3 linked regions of the Xenopus tropicalis genome follow. The protein of the gene in region 1 interacts with the protein of each later gene in a pairwise test. Links are inferred from orthologs where the notes say so. Each region holds a gene or a part of one and is shown in the gene's direction. Other genes may lie near its edges.

Region 1 (4,215 bases):
CTGTCTCTTTGCCTGACCTGTCTCCTTGCCTGACCTGTCTCTTTGCCTGACCTGTCTCTTTGCCTGACCTGTTTCCTTGCCTGACCTGTCTCTTTGCCTGACCTGTCTCCTTGCCTGACCTGTCTCTTTGCCTGACCTGTCTCCTTGCCTGACCTGTCTCCTTGCCTGACCTGTCTCTTTGCCTGTCTCCTTGCCTGACCTGTCTCCTTGCCTGACCTGTCTCGTCTCCTTGCCTGACCTGTCTCCTTGCCTGACCTGTCTCTTTGCCTGACCTGTCTCCTTGCCTGACCTGTCTCTTTGCCTGACCTGTCTCCTTGCCTGACCTGTCTCTTTGCCTGACCTGTCTCTTTGCCTGACCTGTTTCCTTGCCTGACCTGTCTCTTTGCCTGACCTGTCTCTTTGCCTGACCTGTCTCCTTGCCTGACCTGTCTCTTTGCCTGACCTGTCTCTTTGCCTGACCTGTCTCCTTGCCTGACCTGTCTCTTTGCCTGACCTGTCTCCTTGCCTGACCTGTCTCTTTGCCTGACCTGTCTCTTTGCCTGACCTGTCTCCTTGCCTGACCTGTCTCTTTGCCTGTCTCCTTGCCTGACCTGTCTCTTTGCCTGTCTCCTTGCCTGACCTGTCTCCTTGCCTGACCTGTCTCTTTGCCTGACCTGTCTCCTTGCCTGACCTGTCTCTTTGCCTGACCTGTCTCCTTGCCTGACCTGTCTCTTTGCCTGACCTGTCTCCTTGCCTGACCTGTCTCTTTGCCTGACCTGTCTCCTTGCCTGACCTGTCTCCTTGCCTGACCTGTCTCTTTGCCTGTCTCCTTGCCTGACCTGTCTCTTTGCCTGACCTGTCTCTCCCAGCTGACTTGCATGTAGGAATGGAAGTCCTTTACATACAAAATGCATTAGTGATAACCTGTATCTCAAAGACTGTCTCACCAAGAGTCTTTCATGACTGAACATGAGTCTCATTTACTCATTTACTATACATGAACGTATATATTGGCCATTTTCCTCACAAAGCATATATGCTATAGCTTTTCCCAAGCGTCTTCTTTTAAAATGTCGGCCTTATATACCGCGTCATAAAAGTATTCAGTCTATTAAATATACATGTTGTTCTTAGAAATCTCCCCCCCATAAGTCATACTCTCATTTAATCACGACCTCAGTTAGTCGGCACAACTTCAACATGACTCAAATATGGCGCCTTAATTTGCCACCTCCAACATGGCGCCCCGTCCGCCGATTTCCAACTCCAATATGGCGCCGCGTTCTGAATGCTCCAATATGGCGGCCGCTCATTGGCTGAACGAGAGAAGCGTTTCCGGGCGGAAGTGAAGCATGTTGACATCTGATGTCAGAATCCGAAAGGAAGGGCGGAGGAGTTGAACCTAAAATATTTGGATATTAGCTGCAAATAATTTCTTAAGAAAAAATGATCCCCTCGGAGGATAGCTCCGCCAGGAAGAAGACTATAGAGGAAAAGCTTAAGCAGGTATTTTGTTTTGTTATTAAATCTCACATTAATGTGTGTCTGTCTGTCTATATTGTCTTTTACTATAAATGTCTTTCACTCTATCATCTATCTTTCTCCTATTCACTATTTATATATCTATCATGTCTTTTACTCTATCTATCTATCTATCTATCTATCTATCTATCTATCTATCATCTAACTTTCTATCTATCATCTATCTATGTATGTATCTATGTACCTATCTATTTATCTATCTATCTATCATCTATCTATGTATCTATCTATCTATCTATCTATTTATCTATCTATCATCTATCTATGTATGTATCTATGTACCTATCTATCTATCTATCTATCTATCTATCTATCTATCTATCATGTCTTATACGCTAAATGTCTCTATCTCACTCTGTCATCTATCTTTCACTCACTCACTCTATCTTTCTCCTATTCACTATCTATATATCTATCATGTCTTTTACTCTATCTATCTATCATGTATCTATCTATGTATCTATCTATCTATCTATCTATCATCTATCATGTCTTTTACGCTAAATGTCTTTCTCTCACTCTATCATCTATTTTTCACTCACTCACTCTATCTTTCTCCTATTCACTACCTATATGTCATGTCTTTTACTCTATCTATCTGTCTATATATCAGTCTTGGCCTGTAATTCAAAGACACTGGAGCGAGGTACTTCAATACATTAATGAGAAATTAGCTCTTTCGCTCCCCTAAACTATGCTTACTGGGAATAACAGGAGCCCTACAGCTCCGGTCTGACTCCAGGATGTGCTATTTACAATTGTTATATGATGCTAAAAAGGCAAAGCTAATGCAATGGAAATCTCTTGATCCCCCTGCTACAATACTGGCGAAAATTAGTAGATGATACACTTACCTATCTAGCACGAGGCTGCCTGGGAAAATTTGACGCTATATGGGACACTTGGTTAAACATATAAAATGTCTGACTATATATAAACTTGATTCTGTCAAAGTACACTAAACGCACTTGCCTCACCTTAGTTTTCTCCTAGCTTCTCTCTCTTACTCTGTAATTGTTTAAATATTTGTTTGAAAATTTCAAAATAAAAACTTTAAAAAAATAAATACATTTGCTACTCATTCAGAACTGATAGTGATGAAAAGCTGCTGAGAGAATGGATGTAAAGAGGAAATGAGAAAAAGAATGAAAATGGAAAACAGAAAGGGAGGAGCACATAACTGAAAAAAATAAAGGACTCACACAATGTATAACTGTTACAGAAAAAAAATTGTCTTTGATATGTGCGGGTTTTATACATGTCCCAAAGCTCACTTCCAACAGACATTTCCCTTTATCTTCCATGTTGTAGGAAGAGGAAACCTTAGCCTTCATCAAGGAGAGCCTGGAGAAGAGCGATCAGCTGACAAACAATATGGTGAGTGTAGCTATTAATATGGTGCTGGGAGTGTCGCTGTGCCCTAAGCTGATTTAGCATTGAAACACCTGTACAAGAATGGTGCTGGGGCAGTGGGGCAGTAGTGTAAGTGCTTCTGCCAGGGTGATTGTAAGCGGATATGTGGCTGCTGATAGAACAGTACAGTGCCCACAGGTGGGGGTATCCATAACAGAAAAATGGTTACATTATATCACCAATTGGCACAGTGTGACCTATGGCTTTCTCTTCAAGACATAAACACTTCCCACTAAGCCTCTATTTCTTTCTTTCTATCCCTTACACAGGTCTCCATCCTGTCTTCTTTTGAGAGTCGGCTGATGAAACTAGAGAATTCCATTATTCCCGTGCACAAACAAACAGAGACCCTGCAGCGGCTGCAGGAAAATGTCGATCGTACCCTGTCCTGCTTGGACCATGTCATCAGCTACTACCATGTTGCCACGGAAACTGAGCGCATCATCAAAGAAGGGTAATTTGTATTGAATTGCATAATAATACGGATATTCGTTCTAGGGCTTTCAACCTACTTGTTTGTATAGTGCAAGGGATAATGCCTTTGCTGCGTAAGGCACGCAGTTGAAAGCCGCCAGTATCTGGTAGAGATGTGTGTTTTCTTTCAGACCCTCGGGAAGGCTAGAGGAATACCTGGGCTGCATTGCAAAAATCCAGAAGGCTGTGGAATATTTTCAAGACAACAACCCAGACAGCCCTGAGTTAAACAGAGTGGTAAGTTCTTTGACACCCTGGAAGTGGTCCATTATATGTTTCACCATTATATGTTTCACCGCTTAGCTTGCAGCCTTTACCATAAAATATTTTTTTGCCGGTTCTATAGTAAGGACGGTGCTTACTAGTGTGGATGTCATGGTTTTCTTTTGCCTGTATTCTCGTAGAAATCCCTGTTCGAGAGGGGGAAGGAGTCTTTGGATACTGAGTTCCGGAGTCTCCTGCAGAGATACAGCAAACCGGTGCCCCCCATCCTCATTCTAGACCTGATTGGAACAGAGGAGGAGCTGGAGGGCCAGGAGGAGGCTGTTCTAGAACACCTACCTGAGGGAATCCTGCAGGATGTCATACGCATCTCTAAATGGCTGGTGGAGTACGGGAGGAACCAGGGTGAGAAGTTGGGTCACTCTTAGAACAGCAAACCCAAAACCTCCAACATCTCTCACTGCTCAACACCTACAAGTCCATATTCACTTCCCTTTGTCTCACTTCATTTGTTTCTCATTCTTAACCCCACCTGCGATCAACCTTTTTAGCCAACGTTCTCCATGTTGCAGATTTCATGAATGT
Region 2 (3,652 bases), on another chromosome or scaffold:
GTTTCTGGTAGAAATCCTTCTATCATGAAAAATAGCATTTTTTCTTTTTTTTTTTTTTGTATTTCAAGCTCTAAATCTTGTTCCTGAAGTGGAAATACACAAAAACTCAGGTAGATTAGGAAAGCTCAGGTTCTCCTGAAAAAAACTATATATAGTTTGCCTACCTAAACTTAACCCTGCCCCCAGTAAAAGCCCCTAAATTGAGAGAGCACAGAAAGTTTACAAAACGTCTGGCACTGAGGGGAACTGAAATGTCAAATTCTGCTGGCACTTAAAGGGTTAACCCCATGGTTCCTGTGTCCCCCATAGGACTAGAGTGAAAAGGATTTTATGGTAAGTAAAGAAATCCCTTTTAACATGAGGCCATATACAAACTCAATTTTGTATTATTCTGTAAAAAATGCCTCTAATTACCACTGTGTATCTATTTAGGGTCTGCACAGTGCAAGTGTCCCTGGTATTTTGGCATTGGATTTGTGTCCAACTGACACAAACAAAACTCTTACTGGTAAGGATTTTACCCACTTTCTGCTTGTCATTAATGTCTTTAGTGGAAACACAGAGAGCAATATTTATTCTTGTTTTTGCTCTTTTTCTTTTTGTCTTGTAGGTGGGGCAGACAAAAGTGTTGTTGTGTTTGATGCACTATCGCAACAGATCCTTGCTACTCTTAAAGGTCATACCAAGAAAGTTACCAGTGTTGTTTTCCACCCATCTCAGGTATGCATTTTTGGCAAATTTAAGACATACATGAAACTTTCCTTCTATTGATTGCTTTACTTGTCCCAGAGGTTCAACTTAGCTTGAATCATTCCTGTGGCTTCAGCAGTTTTTTGGAGCTAACTATAATAAAATGTACCTGATTTAGTGTGTCTACTTTGTGGTCCTAAATGTACTGTTCTGCCAACACCTAATTCAGACCCCCAATAAAAATGTCCATGGTTATACAACTACATCCACATTGTTGGGGGAAAAGAAGAAAACACTTTAACTACTAGAGCAAAATAGACTTTAATAAGTTCAGGTCCAGCCTGGTACAAAACATTCCTTTTGGGGACAATACATATTTGTTTTGTTTTTTTCTAAAACGCATCAATTAATAGAGCTTCTCCAGCAGAATCCTGCATTGATATCCATTTTATTATGCCAACAAATTCTACATGAGGTGCCACAGCCATGTGACTTGACACTCTTTACTGTTGGAGTGATATTGCCCCCAGCAGCAGATAGAACAATGGGCAGGTAGCAAGATAGCAGTTAGTTGACACCTGTAGTAATCAGAGTAGCACTCCATGGTAAAAAATCCAAGTCTGCATTGTGACTCCTCCTCCAGTTACATGAAATAGGAGAAACATTATGTTATCTAAAAGCAGTTCTAATGTGTAGCATTGCACTGAGATGGCTACCTACACATCAATATTATAACTAAAAAAACAATTTATTGGCTTAAAAATAATTTATTTACATGGTAGAGTGAATTATTTGCTATGTAAACAGTGTAATTTAGAAATAAAAAATACACCATAAAACTCATGACCAGAATCCCTTTCAATATTTGAAGCTGTCAGGGACAGATTGGTTAACACTTCAAAGGTCCCTAAATCTCCCCACCCACTTAATTAACATTCTTTATGTTTTTATTGAGGGATGATGATTTTGTTCAGTGGTTTGTCAAATTAGTTTTCTGAAGAGATGTCATTGGTTTAAAACTTTTTTTAATTACACAAATGAGTAGAGTTTCTAGGCTTAGTTAGCAAATACAGGCATTCAGTCTACTTACATATTTTGTTTGTTTTCTGGATGGCTTTGAAAATCACTAGCTTATGAATAATATATATCATATAAAGCAGTGCTGTCCAACTGGCGGCCCGCGAACCCCCTCTGTGTGGCCCCCCACCTGTCTGGCTGCTTTGATGGCTTACTCTTGTGTAAGCTTTAAATGGTATCAGTACTGTGATTAACTGGCCCCTGCATTGCTCACACCTCAGATTCAGGCTGTAATCAGGCTGTATTGTTTAAATATGTAATCCCCTGTGTTGTTCACACCTTTTAATCTCTGCATTGTCCACCCCCTGCAGTGTTCACACCTCAGGCTCAGACTGTAATCACCCACATTGTTCCCCTGTTCACACCTCAGACAAGACTGTAGGAGCAGTAGAAACCCACAAATAACCCATGCACACTACAAAAAGAACATATACTGAGGTGGTACTGCAATTAAAAAGTTTTTTAATATATAGTTATTGTACAGACTGTAGGAGCAGTGCCAGCATTGTCACTGTATGCTGGCTGTGTGTGCCAGGGCAAGCAGAGTATGGCACACACAGGCAGCATAGGACAGGCAGAGTATGGCACACACAGGCAGCATAGGGCAGGCAGAGTATGGCACACACAGGCAGCATAGGGCAGGCAGAGTATGGCACACACAGGCAGGGTAGGGCAGGCAGAGTATGGCACACACAGGCAGGGTAGGGCAGGCAGAGTATGGCACACACAGGCCAAGTATGGCACAAACCAGCCAAGAATGGCGCACACAGTCAAAGTATGGCACACGCAGGCAGGGTAGGGAAGGCAGAGTATGGCACACTCCGGCAGGGTAGGGCAGGCAGAGTATGGCACACACAGGCACTCAGGCAGGGTAGGGCAGGCAGAGTATGGCACACACAGGCAGGGTAGGGAAGGCAGAGTATGGCACACTCAGGCAGGGTAGGGCAGGCAGAGTATGGCACACACACACACAGGCAGGGTAGGGAAGGCAGAGTATGGCACACACAGGCAGAGTAGGGAAGGCAGAGAATGGCAGGTTTTTGCTGTACTACAACTATTAATATGGGTATGGTTTCAAGTGGGTGCGGTTTCAAAAAGGGGAGTGGTCAAAACTGGCTTCCATTATCGGCCCTCCACCACGTAGGTCGGAAAAATTCCGGCCCTCGGTATCACAGAAGTTGGACAGCACTGATATAAAGAATAACAATAATATTATTACTCTGACCTAATATTTTTCTTGATCTGTAGCTGTGATTCATGGGTGTATTATGTTATTGGTGTTTATCCATATTTTGAACCTGTAAGGCTACCTTTGTAGTTAACAGATTTTGTACATAGTTAACTATTCACACACATTTTGCTGTATGGGACAGTTTTTTTTAAAAATTTCGTTTTACATAATTATGGTTGTCCATAAGACAGCTGATTATATATATATATATATATATATATATATATATATATATATATATATATATATATATATATATATATATATATATATATATATAGGTATATATATATATATATATATATATATATAGGTATATATAGGTATATATAGGTATATATAGGTATATATAGGTATATATATATATATATATATATATATATATATATACAGGTATAGGACCCGTTATCCAGAATACTCGGGACCAAGGGTATTCCGGATAAGGGGTCTTTCCGTAATTTAGGTCTCCATACCATAAGCCTACTAAAAAAATCAATAAACCATTAATTAAACCCAATAGGATTATTTTCCATCCAATAAGGATTATTTATATCTTAGTGTGTATATATATATATATATATATATATATATATATATATATATATATATATATATATATATATATATATATATATATATATATATATAAAAGAT
Region 3 (4,209 bases), on another chromosome or scaffold:
CTTCCTGGCCAGGCTCCCCATACTGCTACTGTAATTCCCTTCCTGGCCAGGCCTCCCCATACTGCTACTGTAATTCCCTTCCTGGCCAGGCCTCCCCATTACTGTCTTACTGTAATTCCCTTCCTGGCCAGGCCTCCCCATACTGTTACTGTAATTCCCTTCCTGGCCAGGCCTCCCCATACTGTTACTGTAATTCCCTTCCTGGCCAGGCCTCCCCATACTGTTACTGTAATTCCCTTCCTGGCCAGGCCTCCCCATACTGTTACTGTAATTCCCTTCCTGGCCAGGCCTCCCCATTACTGTTACTGTAATTCCCTTCCTGGCCAGGCCTCCCCATACTGTTACTGTAATTCCCTTCCTGGCCAGGCCTCCCCATACTGCTACTGTAATTCCCTTCCTGGCCAGGGCCTCCCCATACTGCTACTGTAATTCCCTTCCTGGACCAGGCCTCCCCATACTGTTACCTGTAATTCCCTTCCTGGCCAGGCCTCCCCATACTGTTACTGTAATTCCCTTCCTGGCCAGGCCTCCCCATACTGTTACTGTAATTCCCTTCCTGGCCAGGCCTCCCCATACTGTTACTGTAATTCCCTTCCTGGCCAGGCCTCCCCATACTGCTACTGTAATTCCCTTCCTGGCCTCCCCATACTGTTACTGTAATTCCCTTCCTGGCCAGGCCTCCCCATACTGCTACACGCTAATGTGTCGGTCGGTACATGGCCCTGCATGTGAGCCATCCCTCTGTATCATGCTATGGGCGTGTGGCTGATAATAAGCCCCTGTGTGACAGCGCCCCCAGTGGGGCAGTTCCTACAAGCCGTACCTCCGTGCCGCATCCTCTGTCCCACACACACCTGCAGCTACACGGGTTACTACTAACAACACTACATACAGGGCGCTCCGCTTCACTCACTTCCCCACATCTTCCTCCATCTTTTCCACTAGCTGAGGTCACTTCCGCAACTTGTTGCCACAGAAACCGCCCGCACAATCATCTTGGGTCAAGTTAGGCACCGCCCAGCGCCAGGGCATGCTGGGAAATGTAGTAGCAAGCTATACTGACCTACGCCGCAGCTTTACGCATTTTAGGCAATAACAAACTAAACTCCCGGAAACCCATGGCGCTGTCCCTCGGCATTAGTTCCCTGGTCATCGCTTAAACCTCGCTAAAAAGAAGGAATTAATACTAGCGGACATATTTAGTTCTGGATTTACCGGTTAGAAAGTCGTGGGCTTTAACATGACCTTTTTTTATAACTGCAGACTTTTTACTCTCTAAAAATGTGTGTACGCCAGAACAACTATATCTTATGTGAACGCAGTCAGGCACCTGTGGTAATACACCTCCAGTATTAAATATGTTCTCAATTTGCATCATATCGCTTCCAACAGAGATTTAGTCACTTTCCGTGAGGACGATTCGAAGCTCAACTACACAATCAAGTTTCTGGAATAATGTTTTGCCAGTATGCAACATGGCGCCCACATACTCAGCTTCCGCTTTGTCACTATGGAATCTAGATTGTGTCCTAGGAAGTGACGTCTGTAAACAGCAGCGAGTTGTATCCGTGGCAGCTGAAGCCGAAGGGTACCGGGAGGTAAGAGCAGCTGGTGTGGGGCAGTAAATGTGACCGTTCCGGGGACTTTGGGGCTAATGGAATAAAAGGCGATAATTCTGATACTGAGCAAGTTACTCATAGCATCCAGTCTGCAGGTGGCATGTCGTTGTTACAAGCAAACATCTGGTTGCTATGGGTGACAAGCCCTTGGCAAAAATTCCCAAATTCATTGCGCTCCACAGAATTTTCAGCGTTAACAGGGCAGCTTTTGCTGATTGGCAGCTCCACCTTGTGGGACTGGGGTAGGAGACAGTCAGTCAGCAACAGATACAGCGGCATAGTAGCCTGGAACATTCCTACACTAGTATGTGTCTAATAAATAACACAATTATCTTCATTATCAGCTTTATGAGATGTACCTAGTGATTGTATTAGGCTGAGGCTGCTTACAGGGCTAGTGTAGGGCAGGCAGGACAGAGAGGGGCAGTTCTGGGGCACTATGGGGCAAACTGGCCTTTGTGCTCAGAAACCTGCAGCCACTGTGCATAAGGAAATCTCATCCTGTCTGTGCACTTAGTGCATCCATGGCAGGGGAATAAGGTAAGAGTAAGAGGCTTGATGCTATAGGGACACCCATATTTGTGTGAGCATGATGGGATCTCTCTGTTATCCTATTCAGGATAGCCACATAGTGTTCAGGGTCTGAAAGAGATCCATCATCTTTGTCCCTCATCACAAAACCGAAGGCAGCGTTTGTTAATGTTTGTATTTTTTTTTCATGATTCATATTTTCATGTTCTTTTGGTTTTTGTTTTGCATTTTAGTTCTTTCAACAAATGACTAGACACTTGGGGGCACATTTACTTACCCACGAACGGGCCGAATGCGTCCAATTGCGGTTTTTTCGTAATGATCGGTATTTGGCGATTTTTCGGAAAATTATCGCGACTTTTTCGTTGCCATTCCGAATGTTGCGCAAAATCTGGCGATTTTTTCAGAGCGTTAAAACTTAAGCGAAAAGTTGTGCCTTTTTCGTAGCCATTCCGAAAGTTGCGCAAAATGTTGTGATTTTTTCGTAGCGTTCGGATTCATTCAAGCTTCAGTATGGTGACTTTTCTTGGGCCAGGTTGGAGCTGCAGGGTGCCATTGAGTCCTATGGGAGGCTTCCAAAATCTTGCTAAGTCTGAAAGTTTCGCCCGCCGCTTACGAGCGTTCAATACGAAAAAGTCGCGACAAGATACGAGCGAATCTTAATGGCTACAAAAATTCGCGTTTTTCGCGCAAATCGTATTGGTAACGAAAAAGTCGCGACAATTTCCGAAAAGTCGTAAAGGCGCTGAAAAAGTCGCAAAATGTTCATTTTCCAATCTGAATTTTTCCAATTCGAATTCGTGTCTTAGTAAATCAGCCCCTTGGTTTTAGTGGAAATGAGTTTTTTCATGGTTTTTAGAAACCTCTAAAACCATGAATTTTAGAGTAATATAGTAAATTGCAAATGTGCCCCAGCATTTTGTGCCAGTGTGTGGTATTCCCTGTTACATCACACAATCATTACTAAGATGGGGGTTTTTCCATGCTCTGTACTGCTAAAGACATAGTAAAGCAGCCCTCTCAAATTTCTGAACAGACAATAAAAACATGTTTATTTGTACCACTTTTGTAATCAGCCCCTTTGACCTAGAAACATCAGATTTTGGGGCTAACTTTCTGTATAGATGCTTTATAGGCTCAGGTTAAAAGGCTGAAGTTCATTGATAGCAGCATCTCATGTGTAAAAGATGTATTACACTGATAGGTTCTTGAATTTGAAATAAATAAATAGATCTTCTTGATGAGTAAAGCCAAATAGATCTCTCATTTGATGCAGAATAATGGCTTGGGCAGCAGATGCCACTGTTTTTACTGAAATCTATAGATAAGGTGCTTTAATGTATGTGTTACTCCCACTCCTATCAATAAATATCCAGTTAATGAGAATGCCATAGTCCATAACATACTTACAGGTAATTTTCAGGTGGACTACCACTTTAAAGTAAAACGTAACCCCAAATGGCTTCTGTTAATTTCTCTTTTGGCAAAGAGCTACTCTGCAGCTTCCCATAGCCAACAGTTGTTTGTCACATAAATTGAACCCTTCCTCCCTCAATAAGTTACTTTCTAGGTGCTGTCACGACATGAGGATTTTTAAGAGATCTTAAGATGCCCATTTAGTCGCTTGATATATTTTAAGAATACTGTGGTGGGGGTATCTTTTAACATTTGACCAATAAGTCTGCTACCACAACTGTTGTTACTTCTCAGATGTAGAAGGCAACCGCAGGATCGTCATGTGAAAGAACCACAATAATAGCAGGAGTCAGAAGGATAGGTGGTTCTTAAGGGATTTGCCTGGCTGGTGTGAGAGAAGCTGGGGGAAATGAGCAGAATGGGCTGCTCTGATTTCTTGGTGTGGTTGATGACTGCGGGCACCATTCCCTTTATTTATTTATTGGTTTGTGGCAAATCCCTCTGGTGACATCACAGATGACTGGGTTGGGCGTGGTTATATAACTGAAAGCATCATGGCAGGTCCGAATCTGGGCCAGGAGAGAATAGGGTTGGGCACTGGTCTAATATTTGTCCACCTGCACATCACTACTTAGCTCCTTAT

The links.
Region 2: the proteins of exoc7 (region 1) and prpf19 interact in a two-hybrid assay, tested with the Homo sapiens proteins (2 studies listed by BioGRID and IntAct, with this or other methods). The link is inferred for Xenopus tropicalis from reciprocal best matches to the Homo sapiens genes EXOC7 and PRPF19.
Region 3: the proteins of exoc7 (region 1) and ift20 interact in binary tests that used the Homo sapiens proteins (3 or more experiments, as listed by UniProt). The two-hybrid records come from large-scale screens. The link is inferred for Xenopus tropicalis from reciprocal best matches to the Homo sapiens genes EXOC7 and IFT20.

Annotation. Positions count from the first base shown.
Region 1 is NC_030686.2:45,042,309-45,046,523, reverse strand, and holds the start of exoc7 (exocyst complex component 7), read left to right. Parts: upstream 1-1,370; 5' UTR 1,371-1,425; coding exon 1,426-1,485; intron 1,486-2,832; coding exon 2,833-2,898; intron 2,899-3,203; coding exon 3,204-3,388; intron 3,389-3,539; coding exon 3,540-3,645; intron 3,646-3,812; coding exon 3,813-4,035; intron 4,036-4,202; coding exon 4,203-4,215. UniProt on the Homo sapiens protein: Component of the exocyst complex involved in the docking of exocytic vesicles with fusion sites on the plasma membrane.
Region 2 is NC_030683.2:60,615,593-60,619,244, reverse strand, and holds part of prpf19 (pre-mRNA-processing factor 19), read left to right. Parts: intron 1-432; coding exon 433-508; intron 509-610; coding exon 611-720; intron 721-3,652. UniProt on the Homo sapiens protein: Ubiquitin-protein ligase which is a core component of several complexes mainly involved pre-mRNA splicing and DNA repair. Required for pre-mRNA splicing as component of the spliceosome.
Region 3 is NC_030678.2:47,412,796-47,417,004, reverse strand, and holds the start of ift20 (intraflagellar transport protein 20 homolog), read left to right. Parts: upstream 1-1,319; 5' UTR 1,320-1,598; intron 1,599-4,209. UniProt on the Homo sapiens protein: Part of intraflagellar transport (IFT) particles involved in ciliary process assembly. May play a role in the trafficking of ciliary membrane proteins from the Golgi complex to the cilium.